Caenorhabditis elegans: one gene and its partners. The protein of the gene in region 4 interacts with the protein of the main gene of each other region in a pairwise test. Each region holds a gene or a part of one and is shown on either strand. Other genes may lie near its edges. The genes, in order: unc-10, copd-1, C01G6.4 and nhr-41.

Region 1 (8,427 bases), on a different chromosome or scaffold from region 4:
TTACGAATCCCACGTTTTACCCACATTGTCAGTGGACCACTGATTGCTGTCAGCTTTTGCCAGGGAAAACCTTTTACCAATTTCTCTCTATCTTTCGTTGTCTTTTTTTTGAAAATTTTCATACACACATAAATGGACATACATTCTTGCGACAACGACACAAGACCCTTTCTGGGTCCTTCCTAACCTTTTTCCCTGCTCGAATGTTTGCAGACGCAATAGTTGAGTGATGTCAGTTATTGACGGAATGTTTTTTGCCTTCTCTCACGTCCACTTTTTCTTGCCCAATACGTTGAAACATTCGAACTGCGCTGAGAAATTGACTCTGTTTGAATTTTGTAAAATTTTCGATGGTAGTTTTTCTAGGTTTTAACTTAAAATTTGTAAATAGCTTTATTAAAACAAAAATAAATTTTTATTTTATTTTTTAATATACTTTGAAACATCTCCATGCTATTTTCAAACAGTTTTTGCTCAGTTCGTGAACTATTTTTTTCCGTACTTTTGAGAAAGTTTTGAATCTGAAAAAATACTTTCTGGATTTCATAAGTTGTTATTCCAAAATTATATATTTAAAATGCAACAATAACTTTCAAAATTATGCAAAAATTATTAAAAGATAAGAAAAACGGGTACTTGTGTATTACATGCCCTCATTTTAAAAGTAATTTTTTAAGATAAAAAAAATGAAAACGTGAAGCATATTCTTGTATTTTTGGGCTTAGGAAATAACCATTTCTAAGCCTAAAAAGGAAAAATGTAAAAAACCCACACACGCAACTTGGGTATTTCAAATATAGTGTTTTTAAAAGTGCATATTTTAAGAGTAATAGTATTAAATAATTTTGATGTGACTTCAATTGTTTTCAGGAACATTTTATGTTTACCATAACCACAAAAACATATACATAAGTAAAAAACAATCAATTGTTTTATCTCGTAGTGGGTTTTTATAGGTATACTTATATTATGATCACTCAAATAACAGATAGAGTTTGAAAACAATTTGAAAATATGTTAAATTGTCATTCATTTTTCAAACTTTGTCCAATTTGATGAAATGTGATTTGAATGCCTTATTTTTAGGTTCAGAAACAGTTTTGTCCTCAAGAAAACCGTACTACGTTTTCACATTCATAACTTTGAAATTCGTTCCGATAGCGTTCCGCTAATAAACAAGAACTCTCAAATGTCTCTGATATATAACAAATCTGAAAAGTATTAATGCACTTCCAAAAGGTAATCTTTATCTTTGAAACATCACATTTACCCATCTAGAAGTTTGTTAATTCTGTTTCTTGTCAGCTATATGAATTGATTCATAACGGATTTTGTCCGCCTTTTATATATCTTCTCATAGTTAATCTAATCTTCAAATCGTGAAAACTCTTTTCATATAACACATTTAGAAATCCAGCCGATGGAATAGGAAAATAGTATATATATATATATATATGGATATGGATATATAAGTGTTGCGAATGTTTAATATTCTCTTTTTTTGAAAAGTTTGTTCGATTGTTGAACAAAAATGTTTTGCTTTTGCTGTGAGTTTTAATAATTAGTTACTTCATAGTCCTAGTAGGAATTCTGAACGTATCTGAAAGGGCATTGAAGGGGCGTGAACTTTTTGGAAAGGTGATCCCTCGTCCTGTTCCCTGTTTGTCTGTCCCCTGTCCTCACCTCCTTCGTCTTCTTTTTCTGTCGTTTTATACTTCTCTTTGCTATGCATTCATGAACAGATAATCCAATTTGAGGCTGAGGCCTGCGTGTGTATGTGTGTGTATGTGTGGAGGCCCTCCAACGAAGAAAGAACAAAACTTGGCAATCTTGAGCATATTGGATAAGCTGCCCGCTGAGTTGCTAATTGTCAACGTTTGGCACAAACGCCACATAGAGCCATCTCGGGATGGAAAGGGAGAGAAGACTGGTTGGGGGAGAAAAGAAGGGTAGAGCCTTTGGAGCATTTTTGTGTTTTGCGGGCGTTGCTCCATCCCTTCGTCGTTTTCTCCACCCTGCGTTTGCGCATCAGTCGCCACACGCCGCTAGCCCCCGAGTCCTAAACCCCTCCCTCCCATCTACACACATCCATTTATTTATTAGAAGAGCTCTGAGTAAAACATGAACTATTCGCTATCCGTGGCCTTGTTTTATTCATTGCTTATATCGCATTCGCCCGGGTTTTCCTCCTGGGCGCGCCTTGTCTTTTTTCTTTTCCTCCCGTTTCACCTCCGTTTTTCCTTTCGCCCTCTTTCTCTTTCCTTACGGATACGGGAGGCTCCCCCCACCCCTATCTTCAAACCTTGTCTTTTTTCCGTGCTCAGGGAAACGAGCATGAATTCATTGTCTCAAATGAATGTCTCCTTTTGTGCATCATTAATCTTGCATCGAATTTTGCTTTTTATTCTTACATGCTTTTGTCCACTTTGCACAAGCTGTCCATTTTTTGTCAATTCAAACATCAGCTTGAACCTTTACCTGTCCATGGTTGGCCTTTTTTTATGGCGAAACCTGGCGAACCCAATATCCATCACCCTTCTATTCCTTTTCTTTTCCCGTTTTCCTTCGCTTCCCACTTCCCCACCTCCTACGCTTATTTCTTATTCCTTTCCCGTTTTAGTGCTCTCTTTCTCTTTTTTGCAAAAAGTTCTTGATAGCAGTAAAGAAAAGAAGAGGAAGACTATTTTTGGATGTCCCGAGTTTCCCACGGTATTCATCGACGTCGTCGTCGAAAATGACCACATCCAGTCTTACTGGGCGCTCATGTCTTGGAAAAGGCGTCATTTTTCAACGTTTCTAATCCCGGACGCTCTTATTTTTCCTCTCTCGGTTTCCCCATCTTTGACGCTGTTCTTTTTTTGTTTCAGCGTTGATCCTGTTTTCTTGTTGGCCTTTATTGACATACAACTCTTAAACCGAACAAATTCGTTTCTATTCTTTCTATTCGGATTGTTATCGCGCTTTAGTCTTTTTATACGCTATGATTTCACATGATGCAATAACTCCTTATTACCTTAAAAATCAAACTTCAGTGCCTCATTAAATATAATCATGGACGATCCGTCGATGATGCCGGATTTATCCCATTTATCTGCAGAAGAACGTGAAATAATAGAAAATGTGAGTTGTTCCAGCACGAACCCCCTCCCCCCCCCCCCCCCCCCCCATCGTTCATTTTGCCCATCCGTCTGCTTCTTGTGGGGTTCAAAAAAGTAGTTGGTGCGGTGTGAGTCCTCTGTCTCGGAGCATGACGGGCCCCCCGAGGGGTGAAAGAGCGAGAAAAGGGGAGGGGTATTACTTACAACGCCGTGAGCACACGCAAAATAATGGATATGCAATCAAACGAGTGTGTGCTCTTATGTACATTCGACAAGAAAATTGGCATGATATCATGCGTGCACATACATATAGAGAATACTCACTCAGAACGCTCATGATTTATGTTTTTTGCAGGTCTTCAAACGACAAAAAGATGAGGAGGCAAAAGAAACACAAATATCACAGTAAGAGTTTTGTAGACACATAATTGCATTGGTATTTCTTCATGCGAATGATTTTCCAGAAAAGCATCTGAAGAATTGTCAGAGTTAGACAAACAGATCACGGAGCGGAAAGAAACATCGAAAAAGCTGGTTGGCACACAAGATGACGCGATCTGTCAAATCTGTCAGAAGACCAAATTTGCGGACGGAATTGGTACGTTGTTCCTTTTCCTGAAGAAGCGATGAGAGCAAAGGGTCCTTCTGTCGCCCTGAGATGAGCCTCGTTTTCTGTTCCTAGTAATTCTCTCCGCGGCGTCAGAGAGCCCCTAACCCTTGGCTGTCATCGTCTCTCTAAAAGGACATCAATTTAGCACAAGATGAGAGGTTTTTCAGGCCACAAGTGCTTTTATTGTCAATTGCGTAGCTGCGCCAGATGTGGAGGTAGAGCACAGAGCAAAAATAAGGTACGAGCGGGAGTGAAAGTGTGGGATGAAATAAGGGGAAACATGAAAGAGAAAGGACAAATTCTGGATGACTGCATTTGAATAACAGAATAAAAACCAATTTGAGCAAAATCGACTTGAACATTTTTGCGATATGATGTTGCAATGTTTATATTTTCACAAAAAAAATCTAAACTTTACAATTTATTATAAAATCATGTTTAATTTTATAGTTAATGAATCTAATTTGGAAATCAAGCGAAATAATCGTTTTTACATCTAAAAAAATACGACAGAAGCTGAAAAACAATAGCATCCATTGTTTGCAAAGTAGTTTGGAATAAAGAGATAAATAGAAAGTATTAGCCCCGTGGGTGCACCGACCGATAAAAAAGTAGAGAAGTGAATTGAAGAGAAGAAGTAAAAAGCTTTCAGGCAATCTGGGCTTGTTCGTTGTGCCAGAAACGTCAACAAATTCTTGCCAAAACAGGCAAATGGTTCCAACCCGAAGAGCAGCCGCAGCCGAAAATTAGCGGCTCCGAGCCAAGCCCTTCGCCCCAACCACTAACTGACGACAACGTACCAGAACCGCAGCAGAGGCGAGCAGAGCCGCCTGATAAAATGTGAGTTTCTTCCGGTTTCTTTTACTTTTCCAAGTTTGTGTTTGATTGTTACATGTTCCTTTGAAGCGTTAGTTTCAATCAATCACAATTCAGACTAATTTTCATATTTTCAGGAACACTCCAAATTATCAAAACAACCAACAACCCCGTGGAATGGGAATGCAGCCAAATCATAATCAAACTCAGCAGAATTTCATGAATCAGAACCAAAATTCAAATCAACATCCAAATCAAAACCACAATCAGAATCAAATGCAGAACCCGCATCAAAATCAAAATCATGTTCAAAATAATCATCAAGGAGCCAACAATCATCAACAGAATAATCGAAGAGCTATGCAACAACAGCCAATGAGTCAAAATCAGGCAAATCAGATAAATCAGATGAATCAAAACCAAAATCAACAACAGAGCCACAATCAGAATATGACTCAAAACCAGAGAAACCAGGTACTTGAAGTTGGAAAGTTCCACGATTATTTCAAATTCTACATGTAAATAATTCAGACTGGCCCCCAAAACCAACAAAGGACAAATGACTCTCGAACTATGAAACAAACGCCTCAACAGCAGCCCAGTCAGTATCAAAACAACGTAGGCGCGGCACATCAACACCATAATCAACATGGACAACAAGAGCAGCATCATCAACGTAAGAGCCTCCAGGGGTATAAAAAGAGAAAGTGAAAAACAAAACAAAAAAGTGTTGTGCGCTAAAATTGCGAACGAGACGCAAATTGATATAGTCTGGATAATTTCAGAAATGAATGAACAACGGACGGATAACAACAGAATGAGAGAGAATACTAACGGGCAAGGAGGAATGTTCAATAGGCAGCCGTCATTAGAGGTGAAGGGATCAGGGATATCAAAAACGAGCTTTTGAAAAAAGATTGAGCAGCTTATTATTAGGGTGATACTTCTGTAAAAGTAATGAACAAATGTGAAGAATCATCTAGAGCGGAAAATTTGGTCAGAATTACAGTACTGTCGTACAAAGTTCAGAGTAGAAAAATATATTAAAATGAAAAAAAAAACGAAATTGTTTCTAATTTAGCAAACTACGCCCATGAACAAATACAATCACGTTGAGGATGATGGCATGAACCAGCGGTAAGTATCCCATAAAGTTTAAAAACTTGATACCCACTTGCTTTCAGACCCACGTTCTACACTGGAAATTCCGAGAATGACCAAAGACAATTTGATGGCCAAATGCAACAGGGCTCACAACAAAATAATCAGAATCAGAACCAAAACAACCGAAATCTTAGAAAAAACACAGTCAGCCGGGTAACAGAGGAGGATTATGCAAGTTCGTCAAACTTCGAATCTAAGAAACGTAAGATGATATCATATCGATAATACCTTGCTAAATTCTATTTTGAGAATCAATTTCAGAGCGGAACAACTCTTCACAGAGTCAGTCCAACACGCAAGGCGTGCGAGCATGTCCTTCTACTGACGACCATTTGAACCGGGTGAAAAATCGATTGCATAGGTGAGCAAGTGTAATTTGGCTAATGGAAAAAATAGACAAACTCAATTGAGTAATGTCTTTTTTGTACTAAGTGCTCAAGCTTTGAGTTCATTGCTTTCCCTCTTCCAGTTACGTCTCCATTTTCTCATTATTTAGCATGACTTCCTTTTTGTTCTGCTGATCACTTTTTTAGTCAAACCAACAGCAAAACAGAAACCAGAAGAGCGCCTTTCGGTTTCAATGCAAATTTTTAATGAGCATTGCCTCATTTAGCTTTTTTCGCTCTTCATCAGTAGTTCAATTTCACATAAACTGCATTTTTTGTCATACATTCTTCTTCATTTTATTTGTTCAAAGTAATTGTTTGAAGGCAACTTCGATCAATGTCATCTTCTGAAGAGGATATTATTGCTGGAGGCGGTGGTAACACTTTGAAGATGTCTACGTCAGCAGTTGTGGCCTCTGGTGGGAAAACCGCATTTCATGATGATATGGGAGCGTCGAATGTGCAGAGGTTGTCCGAGGAATGCAATTCTGAGAAGGGTTTGTGTGCGTACTCTTGAAATCCCATGTTGACATTTTGATGAGTTTTTCAGACCTCCTTCGATATATTTATGGCGATCATAAAAACTCGGATTCATCGTCGTTGGGCGCTGGTGTAGGCGGCAGTGGTGGTGGCGGTGTCTTGAGCGGAAACAGCGTGCTGAAAAGTAAATCACATGCTTTACTGAAGGGGTCTTACCAAGGGGGTTTAGACATGCAAGCTAATCGAAGGCGTGACAAATCGCTGTCCTTGTCACCATCGAGAAATGATCATTTTGGAACAGGGAGCATATCTGGCGGAGATTTGTTGGCATCACGGATACGAACATTTTTATCAGTAAGCCTGTTTTGATACAAAAATTATAACTAAATGTCCTACATATTCAAAAAAAAAAGTTTAAAAGTTTGACAAGTTTCCAATTGGCAATGTTTTCAGCATCCTGTAACATGGCAACCTTCTGCTGATCAGAAAAAATTAATAGGGCACATGATACTTCATCGAACTGAAAATTCTGCAGCCAACGGGGATCTCGGTTTAAAAATTGTAGGCGGCCGAAGAACGGATACCGGGAAGCTCGGTGCATTCATTACTCAAGTTAAGCCTGGCAGTGTGGCGGACACCATTGGAAGACTCCGTCCTGGTAATGAGTTTTGAAGTGAGAGACTTTTTTCTTCAACTTTTTTTTCAGGCGATGAAGTAGTAGAATGGAATGGACAGTCTCTGCAAAATGCCACATATGAACAAGTATATGATAGCATCGCTGCAAGCAGATATGATACTTCTGTCGAGCTGATTGTTAGTAGGAGTGCAATGTAAATATACATTTTATTTTTAAACTCTGTCAACATTTTTAAATCTCGTCTTTCCAGTATTCCTGGAGGTGACGACTTCCTCAACCTTACTCCCTCACAAATGTCATCCTCGGCGTATTCAAGAGTGCCATCTGCATATCCATCTCAATTTCAGCGTCAATTACCCAACCCTGACCTTTTTCTTGGTACAATTAGAACTGAGAACTTCAGAATTAAATAATTTGTTTTCAGACATACATCCCGCTTTACAACAATTATCATTACCACATTCACAATCAGCCGTATTCCCTCATAATAACACATTGACTTCACGCAATCGTTCGACATCAAGCTATTATTATTCAGGTATTCTAACCATGTTAACTTTGGTGTAGATATTTTTTTTTGATGAAAAATAGTTCACATTTTGTTAAAATGTCATCATGATTTTTTTCTAGATGTGCCCGACCTTGGTGTTCCAAGCAATAGGGAGATGCAGGAGAGCCAAGCTTTTGGAACAGGACACATATTTGGACGAATAGAAGTTTCATTTGTGTATTCTCATCATGATCGACAACTCTCAGTTGCTCTCGTTCGTGGGTTTGATCTACCACCAAGATCCGACGGGACTCCCAGAAACCCATATGTGAAAATATTTTTACTGCCTGATAGAAGTGAAAAATCTAGACGGCAGTCTGCTGTTATAGCAGAGACACTCATGCCAGTTTGGGATGAAGTTTTTTACTATAATGGCCTTACTGAACCGATGTTGTTGCAAAGAGTACTAGAGGTTTGTTTTTAACTTTTTAAATTTTGTTTGCATACTGAAACTTAACTTTTTAGCTAACTGTCTGGGATTACGACAAATTTGGTACAAACAGTTTTCTTGGCGAGACATTGATTGATTTGGCGTCAGTGCCACTTGATGGAGAACATTCACTCATGTGCATTCTTGTTGATATGGATGACGATAACCCGCTGAGAACGGTAATTAGTATTTTCAAATTCCATGTTATTATTCTCACTTTTTTGCAGCGTTTAAAATTGAGAAAAGCGTCATACAA
Region 2 (7,796 bases), on a different chromosome or scaffold from region 4:
CTACCGAAATGTTGTTCATATGACAGTAGTCTCTAATATGTGCAAGGAAAATTAGTTTCACTTTTTCAAATAGTCTATACACCGCCACATTCTGCCTTCAAAACCCGAATCTCTGAACTCTACATCAAGTGATATCTTGAATAACTGTATCTCTACACTGCTCCCTGGATATATGTGATTTTAATAATTTTCAATTGCTGCCATAAGGTTCAAATATTGCACTTAAAATGTTGATAAATATTTTATTGATTATGTAGTTGTCTATGAATTAAAAAAAAAATGCATTGTAAATATCGTCCTTTAATTATTTCATTTCTCGAAAGGCGGTCTGAAATCTAGATAAACCACATGTCCAAAAAGATCAACCAGTTCAAAGTTTATTGTATCTTCAACATTTTATCATGTTTATAAGCGTTCAAAAAGATCAACTTTTATAAAAATTTATTTTTCCAGCCGAAATTCGTAAATGGCTACTCGAAAAGCAGTTAGAACAGCTTTTGAGAAATGCCTGTTGGCTGTGGAGCCCCGTTCAATTGTCAGAAATGTAAGTTTATTTCAAAGATTTGAAAACATACTATTGCCCAGATACGAACCGTCGCAATTTTCCGCCAAAAGTACGGTAACCGGTCTTGACACGACAATTTTTGGTTCAAGGCAAGAAGGTTTGCGCCTTTAAATAAAGAGTACTGTAGTTTCAAACTACTTTTTGTTAAAGAATCCTTATTGATTTTCCACACTTTTCAATCAAAAATTAATTACTTTCTGAAAACAAATAAAATTTTAAGAAATCGAGAAAAAACCTTAAAAACCAGAGAAAAATCACGCAGAAATGACGAATCGGAAACTACAGTACTCTTTAAATGCGCGCATCATTTTAACCAATGTTTGTCGTGTCGAGACCTGGTATCATTTTAGACAACATACACTTATTTTCCCGTCAGTGTAATAAAATGTTCGGAATTTTTCCTTTTTAAAAACGTGCTCAACTGAAAATCTTCCAGGCAATCTCCTTGAATCCGTCCTTATTGAAAATTGCTGATTACAACTATTCATTGTCTAATTCCACTAAAATCGTCGTAATTGCATTCGGAAAAGCATCGATTCTAATGGCAAAAGGAGCAAGAGACCAGCTCAAGTCATCACTTTTACAGAAAACAATTGTAATTGCACCGGAACAACAAAAAGGAATTGAAAATGAATTAGAAAATGACACTGAAATATTATACGGAGCAAGAGATAATCTTCCTGATGAGAAATCAGTTTTTGCGACCCGAAAAGTCATTTCTGAAATTCGAGATTTCGACTCTGAATCCACGATTTTTCTTTTTCTAATTTCCGGTGGAGGTTCAGCTTTATTGACTTCACCCAGTGCTCCATTGGATTTGGCTGAAAAATTGGAAACTATAAGAATTATGCAAGCACATGGGGCTACAATTCAAGAGCTGAATACCATTAGGCAGAATCTCTCAGATGTGAAAGGTGGCAAACTTTTGAGAGAGATTAAGGTTTTGTTCTGTGAAGAACTCATTAGTTTTTATAAACTTTAAATTCCAGAAAGGATGCTCCATTGCGCTCATCATATCTGACGTCATCGGGAATCCTGTGGAGCTCATTGCCAGTGGACCTACAGTAATCCCTGCCCATCAACAAGACAAGTTCATCATTTCCAACATTTTAGAAAGTTTAAAAATTAATAAACTGGAACTTCCGGTAAATGTGAAAAATGTATTGGAGAATCATGAAAAAGGTGGGTACCAATATAGTAATTGTAATGAAATATTATAATTTTCAGAACAACTCCCTGAAAATACTTCACGTTTCCAAAACTTCATAATTTCAAGCAACAACTTTGCTCTTCGAGCGGCTGCTGAATATTTAACTTCTTCTGGTTATAATTCAACAATTGTGACGTCATCATTGTCTGGAAATGCTGCTGAAATCGGAAAAAAGTTTGCTGAAATTATTACTGAAAAATCAATAACTTCGAGTCATCTTTTAAAAAACTCGAATTTAACTATCGAAAATTATCCAATTGCTCTACTTTTTGGTGGTGAGACAACTGTTCATTTGTCTGAAAATCCAGGAAAAGGAGGTCGCAATCAGGAAATGGTACTGAGCTGTCTGGATGCTTTGAAGACGCGAGTTCCAGCTCATAATTTCACTTTTTTGAGTGCTGGAACTGATGGACAAGATGGACCTACGGATGCTGCCGGAGCAATCATAAGCAATGAAGATTTGCCTTTAAATTCTCTTCTCAACAGTTCGGAATTTTTGCAAAATTCGGATTCCTATAATTTTTGGAGACAATTCAAAGGAGGAGCGAATCATATTTTAACTGGACCAAGTGGAACTAATGTGATGGATATTCAGATTTTGCTTCTAGATCAGCTCTAATGAATATTCAATTTAAACCAGAGGTGGGCGGATATTTTTTTCGGATATTTTCTAATAATGAATTTATCAATAAGTATTGATGTAGTTATTCTGGAAGAAATGTATCCGAACAAAAGAGTAACTATTAAGCAACATTTTAATATGATAAAACCTAGAAAAATTCTACAAGTTTTCTGTATAAACGATATGCAAGTCCATTATCCGATATCCGTAATATCCGTAGTATCCGATATCCGATGTTGCTCGGCTAATAAGTTTTAAGGTCTCGGTAAGGAAAACTTGTAGAATTTTTCTAGGTTTTATCATATTAAAATGTTGCTTAATAGTTACTCTTTGGTTCGGATACATTTCTTCCAGAATAACTACATCAATACTTATTGATAAATTCATTATTAGAAAATATCCGAAAAAATATCCGCCCACCTCTGATACTCTACTGATACTGATACTCTGATACTGACTACTCGATTCTATATTCTCATTGAAATGTTTGAAAAACAATCGTACAAAAAAAATGTATCCGTAAAACCCAAAAGAAATGGAAATAAATAGAAGAGCATACATAAATTAAAATATTCTCAATAAATACAGTATGAATTGGGTCGGAGGAGAGTGGCTTATGCATCACAGCAATCAAAGGGATAACATGATTTGCAAAAAAGGAATCATGAATCTCTAGAAAAATTAGTGGCTTGGTGGTGGTATTGGAAGCAATAAAAATATCAATCTTGAAGATCTCTCGAATAGGAATAAATTACACAATTTCGAAATTTTCCGAGTTGAAAGTAGTCTCCACTGAATAAGTTACCGGCGATCCATCATTTTTCACAACTTTTTGTACAGTAATCGGCACAAACAAGTTTTCAGAAGTGAATCCAACGGAGACAGGGAAGAAATGATCACAATGGCCATTTGGAACTGAGAATTCAAGGGTTCCCGAAGAGTTCGAGCTGTCAATCACAGCTAAGGACCAAACAATCACGTTCTTCGTCTTGTGGTACTCATATTCTCCATCACACTCACCAACGGATGGAGCTGTCGCAGTTCTGAAAAATAATACTTACTCACATGATATGGAATGATAAAGGTGCCTTCGAATATTTTTTCTGTTTTCATTCAAGCAAAACCAACAAAACGATAAGCCGGAAAATTGTAAACTGAACGAAAATTTTTGGGTTTTTGAAAACTTAAAATTTTTTTTTCAGATTTTGGAAAAACCAAGAGAACTAAAAGGTTTTTGTTGGAAAACACGGCAGGACTGATATGTATACCAAAATTGTCAAAATAAACTTTGAAAAACTCACGGAAGTGGCACAATGATGCGAACATTGTTCAAAGTGATGTCCTCTCTTTGCAATGTGTACTCAATATTGACTTGGACTCCATCAGATGATTCTTGAGGCCAGCAATTGACTGAAATTTGCAAAATGGTTGAAAATTATACCAATACAATTGTGAATTGTTTGTCTTCTAACTTACAAGAAATTGGCAACTGCTCTTCTTCGGAAAGTGCCATTTTCCATTTGAGAATTCCCACATCTGAGTTAACTGGATATGGTTTTCCGTTCGGCTTAATTTTCAGTGTCGACGAAGATTGCCATTCCTTCTTATCGAGATTTGGATGAACTTGAAGTTGAGTTCCAGCTGCAGATCCATTATTCATTTTAATTGAAATTGGAATAAATTCGGGAGATCCAATAGAGAGGGTAACAGTGGCTTGTACTTCTCCTGATTCGAGCCCTCCATCACGACTGACACGGGTATTAATTTTCTCTTCAGTTCTAACGTGAACGACTTCTCTCTTGACACGTGGAGCTGTGGAGATCGGTGCGGCGAGAGAGGAAACTCCTCCTGAAAATTATAAAATTTATATGTAAAATAAATTTAATATCAAAAAAAGTTGATTACCTGAAAGACTAGCTTTCTGTACTGGTGCAATGCTTTGACCTTGTTGTCTCAATGTATCCAAGAAATCATCTTCATTATTCGTTTTTCCTCCCAACTTCAGTGCCTTTCCACCTCCAATTGGTCCCTTCGGTGCCGATGGTCGTGGAGCCGCTGGCTCAGAAACTGCAGCTGCATTTGGAGTGGATGATGAAGAGATTCCTGTGCTTGATTGATAACTTGGCTTGAGCCCTCTGCTCAAAGCCTCCTTCTGAGCTCTCTTGAGTTCCTTGGCCTTTTCAGCCATTGCCTGCTTGGCAGCTTTCTCTTGAGCTTCCTTGATCTGCATAAAAACTCTTTCCTCATGAGAATCCATCTCTGTGAAAGTTCTGATTTGAGCAAGATTGACGCTCTCGCGGTATCCGAGAGTGACGACCTCATCGAATGCAAAAATCAGATCAAAATCGTGAGCAAGAATCTCTTTCTCCTCATTTGAGCGGCAATACTCTGGAATGACTCGTACGAAAAGGCGTAAAGTTTCCAAGTCCTCGAGAATGTTCGAGTTTTTCGTTGTCACCAACACAAGGTAAATGTTGTCCAGAGGGTGATAAACGTAGCGGACGCTGTCTGTCTCGACAAATGTATGTTGACGAGTAGCTGAAAACAATTTAATGTTTAAAAATCAGAAATAAAATTAATGTCTAAGGGTTTCCAATATACATAGTACTTTTTTTAACTGACCAGCTTCCTTCTCATTCCCAATAAGCTTCGGGAAAGCATCAACGAGCCCTTCCAAACGAGATCTCATCATGTCATTTACGAACTGCCGGGCAACAAGCAATTTTCCCGTCTTCGAGAGGATGCAAGCGGCGATCAACACCATTGTGAAATACTCTGAAACGAAATAATGGCATCGAAATGGGAAAAAAAGCAGAAAAATTAAGTACACGTTGGTTTTACGCTTATATGCTACGGGAAAGTTTAATAATTAATTTAATTGTATTACATTTTAGTTAAGTACGGTTATCAATATTAAATATTGAAAACATCTAAACTTATATTGTTCTGTGAAGAGTTCCAATAAAAATCGAGTAAAAATTCGGAAAAACTAGGAAAAAATCGTGTGAAGTTTTGAGATAATGATGGAAATATATTAAAAATTTTGTTGATGCTTCAAAAAACTTAAAGTACGGAGTACGACACCAATAATTTCAAATTTCTCTAATTACGTCGCCATTTAATCCAAATTCAATGAAATTTAAAGTGTATAGCATATTTAGGGACATAAATAACTCGATTTTCAATTAAAAACAAAAAATTTAAAGCTAGAAACTATTAAAAATCAGCTTAAAAGATGAAAATCTCCAACGAACAACCAGTGAAACGTCATTTCGTTGCGAGACCTCCCCGCGGCCGCTGACCGGGAAAAGGGTAGTTTTAGGCCATGAGCAGGAAAAACTTTTTTGGCAGGCATAGAATTTCTTTGAGTGCACATTTGATCAAATATTTGAGAGAAATTTTATGAATTAAAAAAATATTCGCGACTGAAAAAATTCTAGCAGCAATCTTTTTTTTGAGAGAGAATCGATCAGTTTTTCAATCGTTTTTAAGCACTTAAAAAATGTCACACGTGAGAATTTAAATTAGGTTCATGATTTGAATTCAGGGCAAATACTGTTTTACTATTTGATCTTTTGGAAATTAAAATTTTTTCAACACAAAAGCCAACGCCAAAGAGAGGAAGGGTCTGAAGAAGGTCTCAGCGACAGGATCGAGCCAAAATGGCTCAGCGAGCGAGTATACTCAGACAAACGCTTAGTAGTTTAATTAGATTTCAACCATATTTGATTAGAAACTGAGCAAATATAATGGGGACATAATTAATAGGCTTCCTATTCTAATCCAATATGGATTTTCTAATCAAATATGGTTGAAATCTAATCCAATGTGGAACAAATCTAATCCAATATGGCCGAAATCTAATCCAATATGGAACAAATCTAATCCAATATGGCCGAAATCTAATCCAATATGGTCGAAATCTAATCAAATATGGCTGAGATCGTGCCATATTGGATTAGATTTCGACCATATTGGATTAGATTTCGACCATATTAGATTAGATTTGTCTTCTAATGAAATATGGAGGAAATCTAATCTAACATGGATTTCTAATCTAATATGGAGCAAATATAATGCAATACGGATTTTCTAAACAAATATGGTTGAAATCTCGTTTAATAGACAGGTGCGAGTCACGGCTAACCGACTCAAAATCACTGCTAATTAGGCAAAACGGCCAAAAAACCAGAACTAATTAGCTTAAAACCATGGCTAATTAGCAAACCATTGCTAATTAGCAAAAAAGCAGTGCTAATTAGCAATAATACACAGCGCCTCAAATCTGGAGAGAACAGCGAAAAAAGTGGTTTTGGAGCGGGAGCGCGTTTGCTGCAGACGTCGCACGAATTGGAATTAATGTATAGCAAAACAGTAAAATATCGCGTTTTTGCTGGATTTTAGGGATTTTAAAGCAATTTTCAACATGCGGGACCGCCCAGAGACTGTTTGCGATGCGATTTACTTCATTTTAACATAAATTTTTCTCCAAATAAGCTCGAAACGAGCTCTGAATTTCGGCGAATCTGAAAAAATTTTTTGACGAAAAACAGAATTTTGCAAATAAAAATTGATTTTAGAGCAATTTATTGCATAAATATTTGCTTTTAGATGTTTTATGAATAGTTTGAATCTTTTTAAAGAGTTTTAGTTATTAATTTGACTGATAACACAGAAAAATGATTTTTCTTGGAAACGAAATCGATAAAAAAGTAAAGCAACATTTATCAAGGGGAATCTGGCAAAATTAGTTGAATAACTTTTATGAAATTAAAGATTTCAATAGAATAAAGTTACAAATCAATCAAAATCACTAAAAATACAAATAGTTCTGATCAAATATCAATATTCCAATCTACCAAGTGATCTATGCCACGCCAAATTTCTTATGTAAGTGTTGCTCTCCAATTTTCCTCAAAAATGGCTCAAATACTCACGTAAATGATCAAATTAACATTTTTTACAAGTTTGGTGTTATATTTTCTTTTCCTTGATAAGGATCCATGAGGTTCTTCCTACCCTCTACAGCTCTAGATACCTCAACTTCGACAACTCCTATCTACTCGGAGAGGCGAGATATCAAAAAGTGATCAACTGAAAACTTGTAGAGCACATCAAAAACTATGATATTCAATTTAACCTACGTTTTTATCTTCCAAGATTGGGGAGTTAGACTTACATTTGTATTGCATACTTTTTGTTATTCTAATGGCTGCTCTAACTTCCTCATCTTAAGAGATAAACACATGGTTTTAACTAATTATTATAGTTTTTATTATGTTCTAAAATTTCTTAGTTAATCACTTTTCAATATCTTGCCTCTCTGAGGAGATAGGAGTTGTCGAAGTTACAGTATCTATAGCTATGCGCATATGAAGAATCATATGGATTCTCATCAT
Region 3 (7,674 bases), on a different chromosome or scaffold from region 4:
TACTTATAGGAGAAATACGGTAAATAAACTTTATTTATCAGGCTGCTTTTAGACAATTTATTTAATGTCCACCATAGCATCAGTTTCATTCATTGATCCAAATATTCAAATTTGAGCAAATTGAGTTCATGACTCTTCCCAAATTGTGTACCATTCCGTCACCACACCACAATAATCCGTCACCAGATACACCACCTTACCTGATCGTAAATCGTAATCTAAAAGGCGGCAACGCCACCTAATCCATTATTTCTATTAAAACAAAAAAAACAGCAGATGACCCCTTCTAATGACGTCATTGTTCTGAAAGATATCGGAGGCGGTTCGATCGTATTGTTGTTGTTGCGCAATGCAGCGTTCTGGTGAGTCTCTCCGCGCGTCTTGGATATACATGTCATTTGTGGTCACTCTTTATCGTGCACATTAGCGCATATGCACCGTGTGCAGACACATTTCGAATAGGTGACCCCTGTCTTTCTTTGGTCATTTCTATTTATTTTATAATATTTTGTTTGGCTCTTTTTCTTTTTTGAATCCTTTAGTTCTCTGTTGATCCCTTCTTTCTTTTTTTAATAGCAAAAACTTTAACTTCTAAAATGCTATTCTGGTAAATCAGTTCAATTCGCGCGCCTATTTTGTGCCTACATGCCTACCTTCTCCCACTTGTTAACACTTTTTGCTTGTTTGTTTTTCCAATTCTATAAACCTTTGAGGCAGGCACATGTGCCTGAAGGTGTGGCTGCCTACAATAGAAGAATTAGGTGCATCTATAGGCAAGCTGGGAGTATACTGTATCTAATTATATTTTTTTGTAGCTGTTCAACAAACTTTATATTCTAGACTTAAATACTTTTTTGACCTACCTCCACAAACTCGGCGGGATTTTTATCCAATTTATAGTTTTCATTCCTCAATCTTACTTCTTCTTTTCCCATTTTTTAGTCATTCCATCATTGGTTTTTGAAAGTTTTCTGGAATCTAACTCAACTTTCCTTTCGTTTCACTTTCAATTTATCGATTTTCAGATGCGTCTTCTGATTCTTCTCCTAATTTGCTCTGCATTCTCCACATGCTCAGTGCTCGACTCATTCCGTGCCAATGGAATCGAGTTTGAAGTTTACGGTGAAGGACGTCTGATTCCGGAGAAGCAACACTGTGTACCGTATACCTTGGATCTCAATGAGTTTGTCAACTCGTTCAACACGAACAATATGAATGAGTACAGTCGAGGGCTTCTTCAAAAGCGGATTTTCACGAGTTTCGACGCAATTTGCCGCAAATTCAATATCCAAACCGAGAACGAGCAACCAGAATACAATCTGACAGAGGATAGATCTCAAATGAGATATTTGGATTATTTCGACTACAATTGGAATAGTCTTCGATTCGAACGAGATCTCAAATCTCTATTTTTGGAGAATAAAATCAATAATCCATTCCTGGATTCAGTCACTGAAGAAACCATCAAAAGAGCCGGAGCCAACGATGTTCTAGACTTTGCTCAAAAGACAACGGTATTCCCGAAGACTTGCAACGTGAAACAGATGACTGTTCAGACGATGATTTGCTTCAATATTTCAGATATTCCACAATCTGGAACTATTTATGCGGTAAGTCCTTTGAGTGAATTTAAAGAAAAAAAAAAAATATAATTTCAGTTGGCCCATGGAGGAGAGTTCTTGCACAATGAGGAGGTCTATGCCTATTATGATATTCCACAATTCGTCCTGATCACTCAACAAGCTGTAATCCCAATTGAGCTTGAAAAATGCAAAGTTTTGGTTAGTATTACTGAATACTCTTTCAAATTAAATGTTTCAATTTTCAGTTCGGCACGTACATTTACTGCTTCGAAGAATTTGACACCCAATGCGACGTTCGTACTCTCTCGGATTGCCCAATTTACGCCTACAAGACCGAAGATGAGTTTGTCTTCCGCAGAAGCTTCGGAATCGGATATATTTACGCTACGACCGAGTCTGATGTTGATTTGTATCAAAATGGCACAAAATCAACCGTTCCTGGACGTGTCTTCGTGCTCCGAACTAGTTTTGGAACTCCAACCACTGAAAACGGATCACCAGTTATGATGCCCGATATGACACCTCATCACGAGCCGGAGAAGAGCCAATTCGCCGAATTGCTGCCAGAATCGCAGAAGATTCTGAAGTCCGACACTCCGACACGATTGTATACCACTCAACGACGTGGTGTGAACATGCTAAGCCATAAGCATTACGATCAAGGAGCCTGGGATGCCGTTCGAGACTTTTTCGGATTTTAATTGACTTTTAATTTTAATATTTTTTTCACCACGAGTACCAATTTCCATCAGGGATCCAATCCTTTTTTTCAAATTTCAATTTCCAATATGAATCTTTTAATAAAACAAGTTTGACAATTTGACACTTTATGCGTTAAAAAAAAGCAATTTATTTGAATTTCAGAGTAGCCGGAAGTTTTTTTGGGAAGTCAATAAAATGAGTATCAGATACATAGACAGAAAGTGTGTACCGAGTGGTGAATTAAAGAAAAGCTACAGAACAGAGAGCGAGATGAGTGAACAGAAGAAAGAAAAATAACACGTTGGGATGGAATTGACTAAAAAGATGAACAGGAGATGATGAGGAATTAAAGACGACTACAGTATGCACAACATGGGGATTTCAGGTGGAACAGAGCAAAAAAGAAACAAAATGAAAATGGTGAAAGATGAGTGAAGAAATGGTATAGTTCATATGTACACGCATTTCTATATACAGACGTTTGTAATGGGGACAAATACAGCCAACACTGCAAACCAAACTCGAAAACTTCTACTGGGCAAGAAAATGGGAATATTTTTTGCAGAAGGCATTCATGGTTTGGCAGTTGATGAGGAAGTCGGCGAGCACACGATTTGTTGTAAGGATTGCATATTATGGGCAGTTAACGAGGAAAGTATGGTTGAATCGACTGGTTCAAGGCACGAAGGACATGTGAATGACTTCATAAGCCATTCGTCGACGCATTCTTGATGAAACGAGTGCATGCAAGGAAGGAATCGGATTCTCTCTCCTGGCTCAAAGTCGATCATACAGATGGCACATCTGAAAATGGTTTTTTTAAAAATTTAACTAGAGCGCATTAATACTGATTATACAGGCGCGAAATTTTGCGCCAAAGTGCGATACACGGTCTCGACACGACAATTTTTTGTTTAATGCGAAAAGGTGTGAGCCTTTATAGAATACTGTATTTTCAAACTCTCCTTGCAGCGGAAATTTCATCATTTTTTAAGTTTCGTGAAAATGTATGTGATTTTTTAATCACATATATTTGAGTTTTCAAAAAAGAATTAAAAATCTATGAAATTTCCGTATATATCTATAGTTTAAAATTACAGTAATCTTTAAAGGCGCACACTCTTCCACAGTACACAAAAATTTTGTCGTGCCGAGACCGGGAACCATATTTTGTGAGTGAAATTTTGCGTCTGGGTGATAATAATTTTTTCAACACCTCTGCTGTAGCTCGAACAATAATTGATATTGGTCAGATTGTAGTTTGAATAATTTAGTTAATTTTTCATTTAGATCCGAATTTCAAAACTTACTCATTACTGGTCATATCTCCTCGAAATACATCAGCAGGGATTTGCTCGAGAAGTCCTCGAATTCGGTTTTTTTTTGCTTCGTCGAGTTCCTGAGAATTTTTTAAAATTTAATTAAAATTATTCTGCTCTAAACGCTCACTTTTCCCTGTTCCTGTGCTTGTCGTTGTCTAATTACGTTGTGTTGATAGAGCTGATTTACGTACGAACTCTGAAAATTTCAGTTTAATTAAATTCAGATTCTTCAATAATTTCTTACGCTTTGTTGCATCATTGACGGATTTGTGAAGCTCATCGCTGCGTCTGATGATCGGCTCCTGCAAAAATAGTTTATTGAACTTGTTCTATACTTCAAGCATACAATCTAATTGTATTTAAATTTTTAAAAAATCGACGTGTTTTGGTTAATACAACTTCCGTTTTCATTTTTGTGGTATATCACATCAGTTTAGCTTCATCGACATCTCACAGTATACTAGTGAATGACAAAGTAAATTACCGTCGTAGTGGCGTCTCATCGTGCTGTCTGACGAACCCGAACAACGACGGCAAGCAGTTTCCCATTGTCGATCGAAAATCAAGCTGAAAAAAAAGTCGAATATATGAAGATGTGACAAAATGAGGACATCGGAGTATTTCTCAGACGACTAAAGATGAGAATTTTCTACATGACTTTTCCGGATGGGTCTCGCCACGCGGGCAACAAGTTACTGTAATTCGTGTCAAAATACAGTTTGCCATAGCGTTATATTTCTCTAATTTAATTTAAAAAATTCTGACTCATGATTAAAAAATGTATATTGTACAATTTCGGCCCGTAAATTGACACGAGCTACAGTAACCCACTGCTCGCGCCGCAAGACCTTTTAGACGTCTAATTAATAGTAAGATAATGTTCAAACGTCCATGCATGGAAAACCAGGAAGGAAAATTACTCATAATTACACATCGAACTTTAAGAACAACATCACTGCGACTTCTTTAATTAATCAGGCTTCCCAGAAAATCAATGAGAAAACATTTTTAGCGACTTTGTGAAACATTTTATGTGTATGTGTGTCTGTGTGTTTGGGTGTGCACGGAAGCTCTCGTCAAATATTGATTCTCTGGGAAACCGGGAATGACTTTCCGTAGTTTGCACGTATTTATGCCCAAAACAGGTCTCGAAACCAAAACAAATAGGACATGAAGACCCTTTTTTAAGGAAAAGAGTTAACAATAGACTTAAGAAGTGAGACGATTTAATCAGTTACTGTATCTAGGTGGTAGCTAAATATACTAAATATCTTTAAATTATTTGACTGATCATTGCAGAATTTCGTAATCCGTTCTAAAACATCAAGAATCATAGGAAATGCATTAGCAACATTTTTATACGACATAATCGTACAAAACCTAATCGATAGTAAACATTAATGTTGTCTATTGATAAGAAATACAACATTTCGATATATATTCAAATTTAAGCATGTTTCTCGCGAGGAAAGTCTAGACTAAAAAGAAATAACTAATAATTTTTGAAGTGATCAAAATTTGAAACTTAGATTCTAAAAACTTGAATCGATACATGTGAAAACAGGTGAAAAAAAGCAGTACGACCAAAAGTGGTTGTGTCTCGAAGCAGTCTTCTCATTTTCTCTCTTTCACTCTTTCTCTCTCTGTTCGATTGCAGCTGTCTCTTTGAAACGAGAGTTCATTGAGCCATAAGAGTTTCAGACGATGAGACAGCTGAAATGAGAGTATACGAAGAAGAAGAGACGCAGAGACATAACCGCATGACTTGGGGACACTCATGCCCACTGGGGCCCCGCCTTTTCCTTCTTCAGCTGTCAATTTTGTTGACGGAACTTTATTTTTTCAAATCATATCGAACAAAATTTTTTATCAAAGAGTCCTAACTTTTTTTTTGGGATTTCTAAAACTACGATCCAAACCCTGGGATACAGTAACCTTTTTCGTATTACAGGAACGCAAAACTCGGAGAATGCATATTGTGCGACATATTTGACGCGCAAAATATCTCGTAACGAAAACTACAGTAATTATTTAACTGACTACTGTAGCGCTTCTGTCGATTTACGGGCTCAATTTTCAAAATCTTTTTTTTTTTCAAAAAGTGACAGCAATATTCCATTTTCTTTCGTTTCTTCGTGTTATTTTCTCATTTTTTGCTCAATTTTATTCATTTAAAAAATCGAACGCGTAAATCGACACAAGCGATACAGTAATCATTTAAAGAATTACTGTAGTTTTCGCTACGAGATATTTTGCGCGACGGGCTACTGTATTGTTCTCCTAATTTTTTAAAAATTGTCGTCCCAATTTCACTGGTCAAAATTCCAGAAAGAAAAATGAAAGGAGTTTCTGAGGCAAAAGATTGTGATTCGTATAAATTATAAATTGCTTTTTCAGAATTATTTTCTTCAAATACAGCATCGCTTTGTTTGGAACATCAAATTCGAATTTATTTCCACTCTCAATGTACTTAAATTTACATAATAAATTAAATATCTGTTAAGCAATAACTGAAAATTAAATAATCGACATTTTCAGATAATTAAATCAAACTTTATCAAACTTTATTCGTGAACACCGAACAGTAATGAAAAATACAAATTTTAGCAAAATATCAAAGATTCGGGGGACACCATTCTTTTTGATGTGAAATCTGAACAGAAAAAAGGCAAATTTCGATAAAGAATATCGAGTTATTGAGAGGGAAAAGTGAGAAATTTAAGTCAGTTGGCTGCATTATCCTAGGCTAATCGGTTGAGTATATTAGAATTAAACTTGTAAAAAAAAAAGATAAACCGAAAACAAAACGACACTACTCATTGGGATGGTAAAAGATGATGATGTTGGGATGATGGGGGAATCTCGCCGGCTAGATTATCCTAAAATTGTGCGGAATCTCCAGAGATCACACAATTCACAACTCGGGTTTTTTTGTTAGTTTTTGGGTGGGGAAAAGAGGAAAAATAAAAACAAGAAAAGTAAAAAAACAAACAGGAAAGAAATCGCCTAGGCAAAAAAGAGGAAAATCAACCGAATGGCCATAAATAAGAGTTTTTTAACCCGCGAAATAATCAAAAGAGACAGACGAAACGTGTTTTTTTGGAGGGGAAATACTCTAACTGTATGGAAATTGAAAAATTAATTTCGTTTTCCACATAAGATCTTAAAATACAGAAATAGGGGGATTATAAATGATTGATTAGAAAGAATATTTAATAAATGAAATGCTACCTCGATGTCACTAATTATTCCTGGGGCGAAATTATGATAAAATGAATGGTAAGATGTTGTTGCAAATGATGAAAAATTTCAAGCTTCAGAAGCCTGTGGGATTGGCTTTTTATTCGGCATTGCTTGATACCTCGCATAAACTCGACCGGCTAACGCGTCTTTGGCTTCTTTTGATGGATGTGATCCACAGCACAGGAAGGTCTCGTCTTCTCGATAACAAACGTTGTCAAGACGAACACACCACACGTGGAACCATTGATTACAGATGGAGCAGGAAACCTGGAAATCATATTTGTAAAATAAAAATATTTTGAGTGTGTACCCATTGTAAGTTTTTTCTCTTTTCGTATTTGGCAGATATACAATGTCCTTTTGCTACACCACATCTTTCCTTGCTTGGCTCCGTTTTTGGTGGTTCTTCTTCTTCGGTAGGTGTCGCCTTCTTCTGTAATTTAAAGTTTTAGAAATTTAATTCAAGTTTATTCAAAAATCACGAACCCTTCCTCGTTTCTTCTTCGGTGCTTCTTCTGGCTCTACGTCCTTGTCTTTTGTCTTTCTTTCCTTGATCGCTGATTGACTGGCTGTTCTTTTCATGTTTTTTCTACGGCCTCCTCGTGGAGTGACCTTCTCTTCTTCTTGAACATCATCAGTCTCATCTTCATCTTCAACAACTTTTTCTTTCTTTCCAACTTTCTTTGCAGGTGTTGATTTTCCAATTCGGGTTGATCTTCTTGCTTTATCTCTTCGTTTTGTAGACTTATCGCCCGATCTTCCATCATCTTCGGAATCAGAATCAGCAGATGATTCATCAAGTTGTTTCATTTTTCGGGAAGATG
Region 4 (8,005 bases):
GGTTTCAAATGAACGGAAATTTAATCAAAAGTTTGAATTTTGAGTAAAAATTAAAGAAAATAATAAGTTATAGTGGAACATTTTCAAAAAAAAACCTACAAAAATTGAGGCAATGACCGGGAACACTATAATTTCTAGATTTTCTTTATACTGTGGACACTTTAAAGTTAAAAAATCAAATTCTCTATCAGATTTCCGTCATTTTAACCCCAATTGGCCCATTTCCGATTGCTATCAATTTTTAGAGAATGGTCGAAGTGGCTCAACTGGGTAGAGGTTACGCTGTGGCGCAGAAGGTCAAGTGTTCGACACCCAGGCTTGCCAAATATTTTTTACGGGATGATTTGATCCTGCCTTAGTTGAAATATGAGACTTTAATCTAGTTTCAAGATGAATTTTGCAACCTTAAAAAAATTTTTGCAAAAATCTAAATAATTTTTTTTTCAATTTTTTCTGAAAATCAATAAAAAATATTTTTCCTTGACAAAAAACGTCTTCCTAAAATACTTCAAAAATTTTTTAGCCTCTCCATGCCCTTTTACTAGTGATTTATAGAGTTCTTCAGAGCAAAAAAAAGAAAAAAGAGGAGCCAAGCTTTTTTCACACAGCATAAAATAATTTTAGGCTTGAAAAAATGAATAAAAATGAGCAAATTTCCAGCAACAATTTCGAAATTCAGTCTTCGACCGATTGACGTCAGCGAGGTTAGAAAGGTGAAAAAATTGGAATGAAACGTATCGAAAAGTGGAAAGTTGTGTCACCGATAAAAATGTTTTTAGAAGACGCCACAGTTATCAACTGATAAAGGTCAAGGAGCAGCCCCTGGAGCCCGGTGGGTTGGTCAAAAATTGATCAAAAATCGGGAAAAAGTACAGTTTTTCGGACTGGGAATCTAGGTTATTGGAAATTTTCGAGTGAAGAATGTCCTTTTTTGACGAAAATAGAGTTGCAAAAAATAATTGGTTCACAATCAGTCAGGTTGAACGCACTTTGCAAAAAATAGTTGGCAAACCTGGGGGTCGAACCCTTGGCCTTCTGCGCCATAGCCTAACCTCTACCCAGTTGCGCCACTGCGACCCAATTAGAAAAATTGAAATTATCGCAATCCAGTCTAAATTGGGGTCAAATTAACGGAAATTGCATGGAGAACTCGAATTTTTTATTTAAATTATGCTAACTCTAAAGTTTGTAGAGAAAAAAGTTTAGAAAAAATACAAAACTTTAGTTTTAATTAAAAATTAGTTTTTCAACAAAGCACACCCAGAGAAAAAGAGATGTAAAAGTCATTAATCTAGAAAGTTGCCAAACAGCGTAGAGGTCACCTGAGGACCCCGGAAAGTGGGCGGAGCTACAATTCGACCGGTGATCAAAACCTGTTTTTAGAGAGAGCGCGCGCGCTCGCGACACTGTCCTTGTAGTCCAAACTTTTGGAAAAAAGGGTATTGGAATATTAGGTATACGCAGAAAATTTAGTAAATGATTTGAAAAACTCCAAGTCCTAACCTAAAATTGTTTTAATTCTAGTTAAAATTTTGTGTTTTTTTAGGTTGAGGCATTGATTTTCATTGTTTTTCATGTCGAAATTCGGATTCTGCGTGCAATTTCCGTTAATTTGACCCCCATAATGACCGGATTCTAATTATTTTAAAATTTTTGAAAATGGATCGAAGTGGCGCAACTGGGTAGAGGTTGGGCTGTAGCGCACAAGACCGGGGTTCGAGCCCAAGTAAGGGAAAATGTTTTTCTCAAGGTTTGTTTGGATAGTTAAAGTGTGTTAAAATAAAAAGGAATCCTAGAAAATCGGAAAAATTGGAAAATTTTTTTGAAAAAAAGTTCTTTGAGCAACATTTTTTTTACCTGAACATTTCGAAGGGCATTTAGCTGTTGAATGATATTTGGCATCATTGGTGGACCGACAACTGACGGGTGTCCTAACAATGGGTTTCTGGTAGCCTGGAAATTCAAAAATTTAAGGGAGAATTTAACAAAAAAAAAACAAATTTTGGGGCAAAAGTTAAAAAATATTTTTGAAAACGAGATCAAACCTTTCATGATATTTTTTTGAGGGAAAAAAAAGGTTATCGAATGACCTTCCACACACATAGACACATAGTAATTTTTCATTAGGGTCGAGAATTTGAGAGATATTTCGTTTTTTTTTCGAAAAAAATTGGACATTCTTTTTGCCCCCGCCATATAACTTTTTCCGCTACAGTCAGCAGGCCCCTCCCGCACACTCTTCTCTAGGCACTCGAGACCTCCTCGTTTCGTCCTCCCATGTGGTCTAGTGGTTAGGATTCGTGGTTTTCACCCACGCGGCCCGGGTTCGATTCCCGGCATGGGAAGTTTATTTTTTTATTTTTGCACTGCCAGTTTTGCCGAATTCTCATTTTTGCAGAAAATAGTTTACCTGCATCATTGCCATCAACTGTGGGTTGCTGAATACGTTTAGTTGAGCCGCCATTATTGCCGGATTGAACAAATTCGGCTGAATACCAGGGATTGGTGTGTTCGCATGCTGTGGGGGTTGGAAAGCTGTTGGGGTGCCTGAACATATTTATATTTATTTTTTATTCGAAAAAAATTAATTAGAATATTACCTGGCGTTGAGGGAATTAGGTGAGATTCTTGTTTGATAGCGGTCGGAGCAATTAGGCTCCGTGAGAAATCGATGGGTGGAGGTGGGGGTTGCTCGACGGAGCAAGGGTCACCCAGCGTCTGGAATAAGAAAATTATAATTTTTCATAAACTTTCCAGTTAATTAGCCTGTTTAAGACAATTTTTCCAAACTTTAAATTCAGAGAATTTTTTTAAAAGATATTCATTGTCAAATTCGAATTCTCCATGAAATTTCCGTTAAGTTGACACCCATATTGACCAATTTACAAAAATTTTGAAATTTTTAGAAAAGTCAAAAAATTGGGTCCCAGTGGCTCAGCTGGTCAGAGGTTAGGCTGAGTCAGAAGGTCGAGGGTTCGAGCCCAGTTGTGGTTTTTATTTTTTACTATAACTGTTTTGATGGTTGAAACAGTTTTAGAGTGACAGGAATTTCATTTTAGAATTTTTTTTTCGTAAATCTTTTTTTAACTCCCATAATTTAGACTTTTACATGTTATTTTGTACAAGAAATCAAAATAAAAAGAAAATCCCTCCTACCGGACTAGAACCCCGGTCTTCTGCGTCATAGTCTAGACCAACAGATACCCGACTGAGCCACCGAGACCAAATTTAACTTATCGGAAATAGGGCAATATGGGGGTAAATTAACGGATTTTAGAGATTTTAGACGGAAGATTCGAATGTTTTAATAAAATAATTGAAAAATTGAAAAATTAGCCTTTAAAAATTTTTTAAACAATTGTCCCGAAAAAAAGTTTTTTTCAGAAATTGTTTTGTATTGTGCGGTAAATTGGTGTAGAATTTAACGTTGAATACATTTTAATTGAAATATTGGTACTTGTGTATTACATGCCCTCATTTTTATAGTAATTTTTTAAGTTGTGCAAAATAAAAACGTGAACCACACTTTTGGATTTTTAGGCTTAGGAAATAAAATTTCCTAACTAGGGAACCGTCAGAAGGTGCCCATCGGACTTGCATATGAAACCTGTGCCATTCGATAGCTGCGAATCTCCAGAACCAAGCTCACGGCGAGCTCTCAAATATCCTAAAATAGCACTGTAACGAAGCACTTTACGATCAAAACAAGCAATTTTCCTTATTCACTTTGGTAGCTCATATCTCTGCGGATAAATTTTTCAAAGAAAAGTCATCAACTGATAAATTGTTGAACTTTTTGTAAAGAACAAGTTTGTAGTTAAAAGTTTTTACCAAAAGTTTTTTGTTTTAGATAAAAGCATTAAAATCGCAATAGCAGCAGTTGCCGCACTTCATGCGCTTCTATCTGAAACAACAATTTTTTTGACAAAAACTTTCAACTACAAACTTGTTCTTTACAAAAATATCAACAACATATTAGTTGATGACTTTTCGGTAAAAAATTTATCCGCTGAGATATGAGCTACCAAAGTAAATTTGGAAAATTGGCCCTTCACTACTTCGTTAAAGTGCTATTTTCAGGATCTTTGAGAGCTCGCCGTGAGCTTGGTTTTGGAGATTCGCAGCTAAAAATTCACGAGTAACCGTTTAATTTAATTTAAAAATGAGGACATGTAATACACAAGTACCGAAATATTTTCGATTTGAGTGCTAGTTCTTCAGTAAAACCTAAAAAATGTACAAAAATGAACGTTTCCTCAGAAAACTCACCATATTAATCCAAGTTTGATGGGATGCTGAAGCTTGACTCTCAGCAAATATTAGCCCAGTTGATGACGTGGAATTTTCTAGAATAAGGGGACGATGTGGGTGATCAGAGCACTTTGGCAAAGTGTACATGAGTATACAGAAACAAGAGAGAATAATATAGTAGTACAGTGAGAGGTGTTTCAGACCGTTATTCCTGGAGACTCTCCCCCTTATCACCGCGCCGCCGGTCAGTCAGCCGCTGCTGACCAACTGGAAATATGTTTCAAGCGGTGTGGCGCGCGGCGTGGGAAATAGTGCGCGAAACCGGGAGAGTGCACACAGAGGTGAGTGACCGTGGGGGGCATTGTATGCTAATAGCAACGCGGAACGAATTTTGGGGGCGGGGGGAACTGTACTATGTGTTGCGGTTTTGGTATAACAAAGTTGCAAAAAAAAAGGTCACAACTTTTGAGGAAAACGAACATTTAAGTCTTTAGCATTTGGGTTTAAACGTTTTAAACCTAAAAATTCGAATTTTACAAAAAATTTCCGTCAATATGACCCCCATATTGACCTATTTCGGTAGTTTTTAAATTGTCAAAAATTTCGGAAAATGGGGCGAAGTGGCTCAATCGGGTAGAGGCTGGGTTATGGTGCAGAAGGTCAGGGGTTCGAGTCCCAGCTTGGTCATAAGTTTTTGTTGCAATTTTTTGAGTGACAAAAATACAAAATTTCGAGCTAGAAACTAGTTTTCAACACTTTCCATGTGTCGAGTAATTTTCGTTGAAAAAATTAAATTTTAGTAAATTAAACGTCAAATTCGAATTCTCCATTAAATTTCAACGTGACTCCCATATTGGCCTAATTAAGATAATTTTGAAATTTTTTAGAAATTTCGTGAAAATGTGTGCTGAACTGGGTACATGTTAGGCTATGGCGCAGAAGGTCAAGGGCTCGACCCCAACGTGCACCAGAACATTTTTGCACAGCTTAATTTAACATAGTTTCCCCTGTTTTAAAGTAATTTTGACATTACACACATTTTTTTCATTATTTTGGAAAAAATTTACAAAAATGTAACTCTCACAAATTTTGTCAAAAAAGTTACACTGATGGAGTAAAATTTTTTTCATCAAAATATGGAAAGTATAGAAAATCCTTGAAAAATCCCCAAAAATCATATCCCCCGCTACCGGGGGATAATCGGTGTTTAGCGGAGCCGTGAACTCAATCTGTTAAATAATTTTTTTCTTCTGTGCCGGCCGGGGCGGATTTTCTTTTTTCATTTTCATTAAGATAATTTATAGGTGAGCGGCTTTGTTGCTTAAGTATTAGCTGTGAGGATTTGTTGTTAATTTTTTTTTGGAAATTTTTTTCGACAATATTTACCCATTTCATATGATCAAAAATGTACCGGAAAAAAAATTTGGGACCGGCTGGGGTCGAACCCTGGTGTCGAGATTCACAGCCAAACCTGTTAGCCACTGAGCCATCGCGGCGAAAATTGAAAATTTCCGGTTTTTTGGGCCAAAAATTTCACATACAGGGTTCAACCTAGTTTCCAACTCGAGATTCTTTTCTTGTTAGATGGAAAAAGTCTCACAAAAATATTCACCTACAGCGGGGATTGAACCCCTGTCTTCCGCGCGTCAGCCCAACCTCTACCCAGCGAAGCCACCGCGACCTATTTTTCAAACTTATAGGAAATGGCTCAATATGGGGGCCAATTTGACTAGAATTTTGATGAAGAATTCGAGTTTTTATATTAAGAAGTTCTTAGTAGAGTTTCAAAGATTTTTTTCGGTAAAAAACTATTGAAAACTTCCTGAAAAATCATTTTCAGAAATTTTCAGAAAATATTTTAGAACTATAAATTATGTATAAAAACAAGTAGCTTTCAACAAATCTTCTCGAAGCTCTGACTTTGTTGAAATAGCTCCTCTTCGGATCCGCTTATCGATGTTCTGATCCGCTATCAAGTGGCGGAAAAATAGGAGTTGATACCTGGTTTTAGTGTCATTATGAATATCTAATCGGTTTTTGGTCGAAAAAAATTTGGGGTAATTTTTTTTTTGAAATTTTTTGAAATTTTTTTTTTTCATAAATCCCTAAAATTTTTATGTTTATTAATCTTTTAAAATCAACGTAAAAATTGAGTCCAGCTCATTGAGAGCTTCCATTCAAATATAAACATGACCTACTTTGCTCCAATTTGAAATTTTCCGAGTCTCACCGCGAGCCTACAGTACCCCGCGCTGTGAGACCCAACTTTTGTGAAAATGGAGGAAAGTGGGGCATGATTATACTTAAATGAAAGCTCTTGACAAGTTGAGTGTGATGAAATAATCAGTTTTGGGGAACTTTGACAATTTAAACATTTTGAAAAATTTTTTTTTTTAAGTCAAAAAAAATTTTTTTTCCAAAGTTCTTTAAAAATTATCTCTAAAAACCGAAAGCCAGACAGTATCAAAGATTCGAAAGCTAGGATGTCTCACTTTCACTACTCGGGATGAATAGGCAATAAAGGTGGCGGGAGATCAACGGATACGTTAGCCGAGAGACAGTTTGAAGAATGGAACGGGATAAGCACCATTGTGTTCACAGGACAGACAAGAAAAAGAAGCACAAATGTGTTTCTTGGTGTCCGTAATAATGTGAGAAAATTTAAACTGAACTTTACCAAAAAAAGTTTTTGTTTCGATTAAAAAAAAAAGATTATTTTGATTGTTTCTTATTTTTAACAATTTTAACTCAAAAAATCGAATTCCTTGCAAAAAATCCAAAAATTTAAGCCCCATATTGCCCTGTTTCTGATAATTTTAAAATTTGGGGGCGCAGTGGCTCAACTGGGTAGAGGCTGGGCAGTGGCTCACAGGTCCGGGGTTCGAACCCCCGAGGTGGTAAATTATTTTGTTTTGATGATTTTGATATTATGAAGCTATGGAAAATGTTTGGAATTGGAGAAATTTAAAAAAAAATCGGTAGTATAATTTTTTCTGGAATAAAACCTTTTTTGAGGAAAATTCAATTTTCAGCTGATTTCTGTTATGAAAATTCTCCATTAAATTTCTGTCATTTTGACCCCAATTAGGCCTAATTAAGGTTTTGCAAAATTTTTCAGAAAGTTCGGGAAATTGGCCGAAGTGGCTCAACTGGTTACATGCTAAGCTATGGCGCACAACACCGTGGTTCGATTCGAGTCGGGGGCAAAAAATTTTTAATTTTTATCTGGTTTACTTTTTCAGAGTATGTTGGCAAATCAACGGTAAATTGGTTTTTTTTTTTGAAAATTCCAAAGAAAAAAGTCCAAACAATTGGCAAAGGGCCATTTTTTCACTTTTTTGAGGTCAACATGCACCGGAAAACTGGAATTTTTTGCAATTTTTTTCCGTTTGCTCCGAGAAAATCAAACAACACAACAGAGGCAACGGTGAACTTTTGACCCCTCCGCACCGCCCGGTCAAATGCCACGTGGCAAAGTAAATATTTGGAAGAAGGTTTTGTGATCGGGAGCATGATAAGGAGTGAAAAAAAATTAATTAAAAAAAGTGAAATTTAAGGGTAAAATGTTTTGAAAAAAAAATTATTAAAAAATTTTGGGTAACAAAATTTTCAGAATTAACAAAAAAAATTTGTCAAGAAAAATTTTTCTTCTAAAAAATAGCTTTTTTCTACGTATTTTTCAAAAATATTTTCTATATCAAATTAAAAACTTAAAATTTCAGAGAAAAATATGCAAAAAAAAAACCAAAAAATT

Evidence for each region.
Region 1: the proteins of nhr-41 (region 4) and unc-10 interact in a two-hybrid assay, tested with the Caenorhabditis elegans proteins (one large-scale study listed by BioGRID).
Region 2: the proteins of nhr-41 (region 4) and copd-1 interact in a two-hybrid assay, tested with the Caenorhabditis elegans proteins (one large-scale study listed by BioGRID).
Region 3: the proteins of nhr-41 (region 4) and C01G6.4 interact in a two-hybrid assay, tested with the Caenorhabditis elegans proteins (one large-scale study listed by BioGRID).

The regions. Positions count from the first base shown.
Region 1 is NC_003284.9:7,274,926-7,283,352, reverse strand, and holds the start of unc-10 (Rab-3-interacting molecule unc-10), read left to right. Parts: upstream 1-3,030; 5' UTR 3,031-3,051; coding exon 3,052-3,120; intron 3,121-3,269; exon of another isoform or gene 3,270-3,408; intron 3,409-3,453; coding exon 3,454-3,503; intron 3,504-3,562; coding exon 3,563-3,696; intron 3,697-3,750; exon of another isoform or gene 3,751-3,835; intron 3,836-3,875; coding exon 3,876-3,946; intron 3,947-4,360; coding exon 4,361-4,548; intron 4,549-4,661; coding exon 4,662-4,998; intron 4,999-5,055; coding exon 5,056-5,200; intron 5,201-5,309; coding exon 5,310-5,398; intron 5,399-5,605; coding exon 5,606-5,661; intron 5,662-5,708; coding exon 5,709-5,890; intron 5,891-5,949; coding exon 5,950-6,049; intron 6,050-6,398; coding exon 6,399-6,571; coding exon of another isoform or gene 6,572-6,577; intron 6,578-6,624; coding exon 6,625-6,908; intron 6,909-7,007; coding exon 7,008-7,212; intron 7,213-7,260; coding exon 7,261-7,384; intron 7,385-7,441; coding exon 7,442-7,569; intron 7,570-7,615; coding exon 7,616-7,729; and 4 more. UniProt on the Caenorhabditis elegans protein: Regulates the efficiency of a post-docking step of the release pathway. Acts after vesicle docking likely via regulating priming. May regulate the conformational changes in syntaxin.
Region 2 is NC_003281.10:6,619,801-6,627,596, forward strand, and holds copd-1 (putative coatomer subunit delta), read right to left. Parts: upstream 5,173-7,796; 5' UTR 5,162-5,172; coding exon 5,020-5,161; intron 4,936-5,019; coding exon 4,303-4,935; intron 4,246-4,302; coding exon 3,874-4,245; intron 3,808-3,873; coding exon 3,699-3,807; intron 3,494-3,698; exon of another isoform or gene 3,441-3,493; coding exon 3,149-3,440; 3' UTR 2,900-3,148; downstream 1-2,899. Other genes in the region: cmtr-2 (Cap-specific mRNA (nucleoside-2'-O-)-methyltransferase 2), read left to right, coding at 1-55; C13B9.2 (glycerate kinase type-2 family protein), read left to right, coding at 467-544, 1,002-1,505, 1,555-1,747, 1,793-2,394. UniProt on the Caenorhabditis elegans protein: The coatomer is a cytosolic protein complex that binds to dilysine motifs and reversibly associates with Golgi non-clathrin-coated vesicles, which further mediate biosynthetic protein transport from the ER, via the Golgi up to the trans Golgi network.
Region 3 is NC_003280.10:9,268,869-9,276,542, forward strand, and holds C01G6.4 (RING-type domain-containing protein), read right to left. Parts: upstream 4,175-7,674; 5' UTR 4,157-4,174; coding exon 4,092-4,156; intron 3,910-4,091; coding exon 3,852-3,909; intron 3,804-3,851; coding exon 3,735-3,803; intron 3,685-3,734; coding exon 3,596-3,684; intron 3,090-3,595; coding exon 2,858-3,089; 3' UTR 2,397-2,857; downstream 1-2,396. Other genes in the region: C01G6.3 (Lipoprotein), read left to right, coding at 1,026-1,610, 1,659-1,781, 1,829-2,284; Germ layers disorganized gldi-3, read right to left, coding at 6,917-7,117, 7,161-7,283, 7,337-7,674.
Region 4 is NC_003282.8:1,382,556-1,390,560, reverse strand, and holds the start of nhr-41 (Nuclear Hormone Receptor family), read right to left. Parts: upstream 4,347-8,005; 5' UTR 4,273-4,346; coding exon 4,270-4,272; intron 2,719-4,269; coding exon 2,601-2,718; intron 2,548-2,600; coding exon 2,411-2,547; intron 2,346-2,410; exon of another isoform or gene 2,274-2,345; intron 1,954-2,273; coding exon 1,858-1,953; intron 1-1,857.